Oryzias latipes: one gene and its partner. The protein of the gene in region 2 interacts with the protein of the main gene of each other region in a pairwise test. Links are inferred from orthologs where the notes say so. Each region holds a gene or a part of one and is shown on either strand. Other genes may lie near its edges. The genes, in order: uso1 and xpo7.

What was found.
Region 1: the proteins of xpo7 (region 2) and uso1 interact in binary tests that used the Homo sapiens proteins (3 or more experiments, as listed by UniProt). The two-hybrid records come from large-scale screens. The link is inferred for Oryzias latipes from reciprocal best matches to the Homo sapiens genes XPO7 and USO1.

The regions. Positions count from the first base shown.
Region 1 is NC_019859.2:16,828,360-16,832,968, reverse strand, and holds the start of uso1 (general vesicular transport factor p115), read right to left. Parts: upstream 3,104-4,609; 5' UTR 2,934-3,103; coding exon 2,868-2,933; intron 2,013-2,867; coding exon 1,926-2,012; intron 1,114-1,925; coding exon 1,049-1,113; intron 902-1,048; coding exon 825-901; intron 357-824; coding exon 345-356; intron 1-344. UniProt on the Homo sapiens protein: General vesicular transport factor required for intercisternal transport in the Golgi stack; it is required for transcytotic fusion and/or subsequent binding of the vesicles to the target membrane.
Region 2 is NC_019870.2:696,604-700,424, reverse strand, and holds part of xpo7 (exportin-7), read left to right. Parts: intron 1-1,061; coding exon 1,062-1,125; intron 1,126-3,353; coding exon 3,354-3,462; intron 3,463-3,821.

The DNA of each region.
Region 1 (4,609 bases), on a different chromosome or scaffold from region 2:
CTTTATACAGTCAATGGCACCACCCCCAAACCCCTTGGTGTCGCTTTACAGTACAGCAATATTATTTGTGGTTAGTCATTGTGCAGTAGAGCAGCAACAGCACAACAGTTCATCAATAAACAGGCACACCTTTAAGTCTCCATGAGGCGAGTAGAAGAGTTGTTGGGTTTGCAAGAAATCAATAAATAAAATTAATCGTCTACTCGTCTCAAGTCACACAGAAGTTCAAAGGTTTTTGAGTAAAAATGCCCCCAACTAATGTCGGCCACTGCAGGGGCACCAATGTGCATGGATGAACGGCGTGGTTAAAGAGGCTGGCATCATGCATAATCCAAAAGATTTACCTTCTGATTCATCTGTGGGGTTAAAACATGAAAGAGAAGAGAAACAGGAAAATCTTTATACAACACATTCAATACTAGTGGAAGTAATTAAAAAAGGAAGGAACGCAGACCGAAGGCTCACAAACTGATACAAACGTCCAGCTTTGTGCTCATGCAAACGCAACACTGTTCAGTAAAGCTGCGTTTAATAAAAACAAATCAATTTCCCTTCAGAAAATCAATATTTGTTTCCAAATACAATTAGTTTTGAATCAAAATTTGAAATATAAATCAATATGAAATCAAGTTGTGAACTTATCAAAACCGATTAAATAATACTGAATTAGTATATTGCTAGTGGTGGCTCTCTATTAAGTACAATGAACTTGAATTTCGGGAATCCAAAAGGATTGCTATAGAGTTATTGTTATTATAGACATAAAAATTAATCTAATCGTACCAGGACAAAATAAAAACACCAAAACCTTATAGGTTGTGTACCTTGTTCTTCTTCCTCATCATTGCAGATGATGTTGTAGAGTGTGTCCAAAGAATAGCCAAGGATTTCAGAGTCAGATCTGGAGCATTTGGGGAAAAATTAAAATATTTTCAAAAAATGAAAATATCTTTTTTTTTTTCAGCCCGACTTCTATTTTACAGGTCAATTGTCGTTTATTGATCTATAATGTGAGAAAAAGGGCTTCAATCTAGAAACAAGGAGATACCTGTCAGTCTGCAATATGGTAACCAGGTGATCCATGGCCTGTGTGCCAACTTCCATGCGGTATTTCTACAAAAAAAAGAAAAAATGGATTCCTCAATAATGGATTTTGTTTCTGCAACTTTAGAAAAAACAACTTAAGTCTACAAGAAAAAATGCTTTCAGAGTCCAATGAAATGTATGATTTAATAAAGAATATTTACTAAAATTATTGATCAAGGCTTATAAATGTTTTTCTTGAGTTTAGTTCTTATTTATTTATTTATTTTTACAAATAAACTGCTTCACAGTAAGAAATAAAAAAAAAAGGTTGAAGGTCAAAGGTTAAATTCAGAGATTTTATCTGAAAAACTAAGAACATTTAACACACTAGACCTACATCCTTTGACGTTTGGTACAGTATGATTTTATTATAATATGCCTTTTAACACTTTCCGTATATTAATTTTTCTTTAAGCTAGTGAGGAAAATAAAATTCAACAAGTTACCTGTAAATTCCTCTATGACACCTTCATTTTTCTGTATGATTTATACATAAATAAATAAAATCCATCCTTTTTTCATTCCATAGGAATCAAGTTGCCAATTCTGAGCCCAACTTAGAACCAGCTCATGCTAGAAGAATACCTGAGGAGCATCAAATCCTTAATGGTGTCATACAAAGATGCAGATGTGTTATAAGATGGTCAGCATTAAAGCAAGCATCTTAAAGTGGTGGCGGCCAATTTAAAAATAAAATCTGTTCTTATTTAAGACAAAAAAAACAATAATTCAGCTCTCTCATAGATAAGACATTGAAGCCTTAATGTAAGCACAAACACAAAGATTTCCTACATTCCCTACCTAAATGTACATCTGCAGAGTTTGTGTTAATTCTATACCTTAGAAAGGGATTTGAGGGCCCGGACAGCGTCCCTTCGGTCCTCCAGGAGTGTTGAGGAAGCAACCCTGTCACACAACTTCTGGATCTGTTAACAAACAAGAAGACAAACGTTTTTTTCCAGAACACATTTTTAATTTCTTAATCAAAATAATCTAAATTTTGTGTCATACTTTTTATTTACATATCTATATTTTCCCCACAACTATAAAACACCCAAAATTAGTGTTGAAGGGCTGTTATAAAAGGCTTGATGCTAAAAAAACAAACAAAAAAAACCAAAAAGATTAGTCCTGTAGCATGGCACATTATTAATAATGAATACAAAGGTTAATTTGATCACATTTAAATACAAAAAAATGTTTTATTTACAGATAACTTCACCACTCAAAGATATCATTAAAAATTGAAAGGAAGTCAACAGAAAGACAAATTTAAGCAAACCATAATTTAATCCCCATCAGGAAATTAAGATTGAACCGTTTTTCTACATTCTACTGGGGTGAAGTCACAGATGTAAAGGAGTTCATTAAAAAAAACTAGCACACGAAAGTGTGTTTTTATTTCTTGTAATCTAAATAACCACTAGAGACACCAAATTAACAAAATGCTTCAACTTACATTAAAGTTCGATCTGTATTTATTGTTAACTGTCGTGAATTATAGTAAAATGTGTTTTATTATAAATGCAAGAATAAGTGTTTTATGACTACTAAAAATAACGGACAAAATACTTCGTTCGACGACTATTGCTAGGTTAGCTTGTGATAGCCTTACATTTAAGGGCTTTTTAAATCAACCGATTCCATGTTACTTATCTTTTAAAATGCGCCCCAATAACATAAATTTATCATTTTTCTTTTCTATACATGTCTTCGTTTTTTTTGTGGATCATAGCGGCAAAAATTCAAGTCAGATGTAGCTAGCATTGCTAGATTCCTACCGTCTCAGCTCCGGTGGGTTGCGGCCCGGCAGCCTGCCCTCCCATCACTCCCCTGAGAAAGTTCATATTGACAGGCGTCTTCTCAGAGAAGACTTCCAACCAGACGGTTTGTTTTGTTGAAGAAGAGACTCCGACCACTGTCTCAGTGGCACAAGTAAAAAATGTATAAAAATAGAAGAAAGACAGAGAGAGTGTGAAGAGTTACACTATGGGGCACTATGTACAGCTACCAACCCCGGATGTGAGATGGACGCGCATGCGCACTAACTAGACCATACGTGGCTCACCCGCACGAGTGATCAGTTTTCTTAAAGGGCCAGAGCACTAAATCTTTCTGCCACGTGAACTGCAGAGGTCGCTGTGAGAATAAATCCAAACTTCAATAAATCCAGCACTATAATCCATTATGTTCATGACCAAATAAACTATTATATGATATTGAATTTATTATATTAAGAAAATACGTATTATTTGCCCATTTTTTAGTTTTTGTACAAAATCAACATGTAAAATCTATTAAAAGGACCGAAAAACCTGATTATATATAAATTTAAAAAACCAATGTAATGCTTGAGACAAATAATTACTGTCTGGTTGAATTAAAAAAAATGCAACTCCATTTCAATTTGCTATGTGATCTAAAAGCAGAAAGGGAGGAAAACATGTTTGTGAGACATCATAATGACAAGTAAAACTCTTTAAAATACTTGTTGAAAGTGATTTTTTTTTTACAAGTTGGTGACAATATTAAAAGATAAAACATTTTTAGGCATTGGAAACAAGTAATAGGATGATCAGATAGAGTGCTATGACTTCAAATGAGTTTTATAAACTTATTTTTTGGTCTCAAAAAAATGATTTCATAAAAAGATTATTGCTTTAAAACTGAGTTTTGAAAAAAATAAACAACCAGTTTAGATAATCTAAAAATCTTCCTGGTATTTTTTTTTTAAGAAAGCTATAAGGACATGTGATATGCTGGAGAATACATGCACAAAAAATAGAAAAGTAAGCCAGAACATTGCAGATGAACAGCACAATTCAAAACAGCAGGTGATTATTCCAACAACCCAGATTTGTGAATAACCCAAACACAAAAGAAACACACTACAAAATAGAAAATCCAAGATTGAACACAGTAATAGACATAGTGATGAAGTCTAAAGTTTAATAAGGCAAATGGGACAGAGAAATAGACCACTTTTTTTTTGACAGGTGCAGTAATCTGCTGCTTGACATTATGGTCCTTTTAACCAGTAAATCCGTCAGATGCATGTAAGATTTGCATAAACAAGAACGATATCAACCATCAGTGATTGTATTGTATTTGAAAGTTAAATATTATCTGTCAGTTTACAGTGAGTGCTGACTCTCAAAAGTGTGCATCACAATTTACAAACTGTAAAAATCAATCCGAAGACAATACCTCAGAGAAGAACAAAGTCCAAAAAAGAGAAAGAAAAGTTTAAGCTATCGCTCTTTTCATAATAATGATAATGTAAAAGGCATGGCAGGGGGGGAAGCATGTTTTTACCAAAATACATCAGTGTTTCATGAAGAAATGGTTGGCCTGTGAAAGAAGAGCTCAATTTCTCACTGAAGATGAGAAACCCTTAAAATAGCAACTTTTTTCTTCAAAATTTACATTCACTTTGTAAAATAAGAAGCAATTATTTGTTAAAAAAAAAAGATTGTCTGGTAGGGGTCTTTTCCTCCAAAACATTTTTGCTTTTTTTTTTAAG
Region 2 (3,821 bases):
GTTACTGTGTGTGACGCGGCGTGTTACTGTGTGTGACGCTGTGAGTTACTCTGTGTGACGCTGTGAGTTACTGTGTGTGACGCTGTGAGTTACTGTGTGTGACGCGGCGTGTTACTTGTTTGTTACTTTGTCTGACGCGGCGTGTTACTGTGTGTGACGCGGCGTGTTACTGTGTGTGACGCGGCGTGTTACTGTGTGTGACGCTCTGAGTTACTGTGTGACGCGGCGTGTTAAGGCCCGTACACACCGGGACGAATATTCGGCAGGCGTTATTCGCCAGCGTTTTTCGCCACGTTTTTTGTGTTCACACCCAGGCGATTTTCGCTGACGATGAGCAGAGCGAACATGCAATTTCATTCCCTGACATTAGATGGCGCTTAATGTAAAACAGAAATACTCCTGTACACAAGGTGGCGCTGCGCAACTTTACGCTTCTTAAAGTCGCTTTTCACTCAGAAGAAGAGAGCAAGTATTTACACGCTTGTCAGAATCAAACAAAGAAAACATGAATATTTCAAGCATCAGTAGCTCCAACTAGTGCTTGGTTCGGGGATATTTTAGAATGTCCGTCATTATTGCTTCGCGGCAGTGTAGACGCTACTTGGCGTCTATCTTCTTTGCTGGTATGTGTGCTCAGCAAGGCAGTTTTGTGTTTGAGCGCCCCCAAGTTGTGTTTTACTGTAACTTCAGAAGCTCCAGACACGTGAGCAAAAGCGCCATTCTCATTGGTCGAGTAGATTTCGACGCGACGCGTCGAAAAAAAAACAACGAACCCGAGGCGTTTTTTTTTTTGACGCTTTAACGCGTGGCGTTTTTTCGCGTCGGTGTGCACACTCTCGTTGGTGCCCTTTGTTTAGTCACGAGGCGTTAAACGTCGGCGAAAATCGCCGGCGAAATTCGTCCCGGTGTGAACAGGCTATTACTGTGATTGACGTGGCGTGTTACTGTTTGTTAGTTTGTGTGACGCTGCGTGTGATGCGGCGTGTTACTGTTTGTGACGCGGCGTGTTACTGTGTGTGACGTGGCGTGTTACTGTGTGTTCCCTTAACTCCCGTTTGCACGTACAGCAGCGTGAGGAAGCTGGTGAAGCTCAGCGCTGTGCAGTTCATGCTCAACAACCACACGGTGAGTGTTTCCTCCACGCAGACGGGAGCCTGGCAAGGTCAAAAATCTGACAACCGTCCTGTTTATTCATATATATATATATTACATATACAGTGATCCCTCGCTATAACACGGTTTACTTTTCACGGTTTCGCTACTTCACGGATTTGCATTGTGCATTGTCTTCTGCATTCTGATTGGCTAAAAAGTCACTCCGCTTCTTCTCTACCTGTGCATCAATAACGTTGCAGTTTAATATGTACACGTACGTAAATCAGCTTGCCAAATTTACAACACGTACGTGCAAATTCTCTTGCAATTTCGAGTTTCTCCAAAACCTATAGAAAAATAGCGACAACAACTGCCTATAATTATGTTCTTCTCCTGGACAAACACAGCTGCGCCGCGGGCTTCAATAGAAGAAAACACTGCAGAGCGGAGTCAGGATGCAGCGGCTCAGACTGAAGAGCAGTGAAATACACCTGAGTCACTATTTGTCCAACTGTACTTTGTATTTTTTTCATAATCATTTTAAATTTTCTCCCGTTTAATCCAATTACTCTCGGGTCGCGGTGGGCGGGGCTAATCTCCGCGATTTGAAGCTTTCTGTTCACATTGATGATTCAAATTATTATTTGACAGAACAGTACAGAAGTTATTTGTTGAAAAAACCTTTCTAAATTACTTTTATTTGTGAAACAAATGCTTGAGCCTGTGAAATGGTTTGTTCTTTCTTTTCAATGTATAATAGACTGTTTAATTGTATAATAATTGTAAAAACAAATAGAGGTTTCTACTTCACGGATTTTGCCCATCACGGGTTCTTTTTGGAACGTAACCCCCCCAGACAAAAGTAAAAATGGATTCCAAGTGTCATCAATCAAATATTAAAATATAAAAACATTTTAGAACCGTTTTGTTCTTAACTCTAAGCTCTAAGTTTTCTGGAGTCAAACAGAAGGAAACCAGGAGTTAAATTCAGAATTTTATGGAAAGAAGTTCACCTCTGGGTCCAATCCATTGACTGAGGGACCCCCGCCCCAAACAGGAAGTACCCAAAATCCCACAGACGTCTATAGAGACATAAACAGCTGTTATTCAGTCATTCTATTGGTCAGAAGAACCGTTCTGGGTCTGATACCTTTTTTAACATCTTCTTGATAATCCTCATTTTTTCATGATATTTTTTCTGTAGTTAGTTAATCGTAATGTAAACTGACCAATCAGATGCCTCAATAAAAGTAGGTGGAGCCACCTGGCCCCCACATCAAACGTTCAGAATATTTGACGGATATTGTAACCTGCTTTGAGTGGTAGGGGTGTGGCCTTCCAACAAGCTCACTTCTAATTGTGAGAGTGGTTTCCATAGAAACGGTGACTCTGCCCGATCACTGCTTACTGACAACGTCTGGCTCCAATGTGGCAGCGTGCGTGTTGTGAAAAAATGGTGATTAAATTGACTTCATTTGATTGGAGCTGGAAGAAACCATTCTTCTATGGGGGGGGTCACACTCAATATAGTTCTTAGATGCTGTCAGTGGTTGAAACCAACCAGGTTCTGCAATGGGGGGGTTCTGAAGGCAGAGAACGAGTTTTGGAGCAGAATGGTTCTAAATTATCCAGTTCAGTAAGGACTGTGAAGCGAGCAGAACCATGCGTAGAACCACAGTCCAACTGGGACCCAGAACAGGAACACTTGAGTTTTAGAAGTCAGAGAAAACCCAGTTTCTGCATTTAACTCAGGGTTTTTAAACCCACATTTCATAAGAGCCACAATAAGAACAGACGTTTCTTAATGGTAGAACTTCAGCCGTGGTTCTATTTGATGGAGGTTTGCAGTCGATTAAAGTATCTTAACATGCAGGTGGAGTAGTCACGTCTTGAAACTCCAGGGGGTCAGGATGGAGCTTCAGCTTCAGAAGTGATGTGGAAAAGAACCAGTGAGGGTCTTTAATGGACCGGAGCCTCTGATGTTTCCGGTCAGCTGGAGTTCTAGCATCCTGAACGTTCAGTCATTCTGCATCAGGCCTCTAGGGCTGCTGTCTGTGTGGTTTCCATGACTGATTACCTGGTTCAGGTTGTCCAGCCAATCACAACATGCCAGAGAAGAGTTTGTTGGAAAAAAAGCAGGAATGCGGCCCCCGAGGCCTGGAGTTGCCTGTTCCTGTGTTGTAGATGTTCCAGGTCTGACAGCAGACGGCTGGAAGCGCTGATTCCGGTTCTGATTCCGTGCTGCTTCTCTGCTGCAGAGCGAACACTTTTCCTTCCTCGGGGTCAACAACCAGTCCAACCTGAGCGACATGAGATGTCGGACCACCTTCTACACGGCTCTGGGGCGCCTCCTCATGGTCGACTTGGGTATGTACACATCTGAACGGCGTTTCTGAAGAAGAGGCTGACGTTTCAGATCTGAAACATGACTTTAAAGAATAGTTACATGTTCAGGGAAGTTTTTCTTTATATTTTCACATAGAAACTGTTGGTTTTCTTTAATGATAATAATGGATTAGATTTTCCAGACGCTCAAAGTTCTTCCAGTGTGTCCATCATTCATTCATACTTGGAGATGGTAACTGCTGATGCAGCCGCAGTTGCCCCGGGGCAGACTGGCAGTACCCGCCTCCCTTTTCTGCCATAAGGAACTCACTGTTTTAGTGAAGCCTTCACCCACCAGTGGACCCCGCTCATCTGCTCAACAAACGTTCATCTGTAAAAAT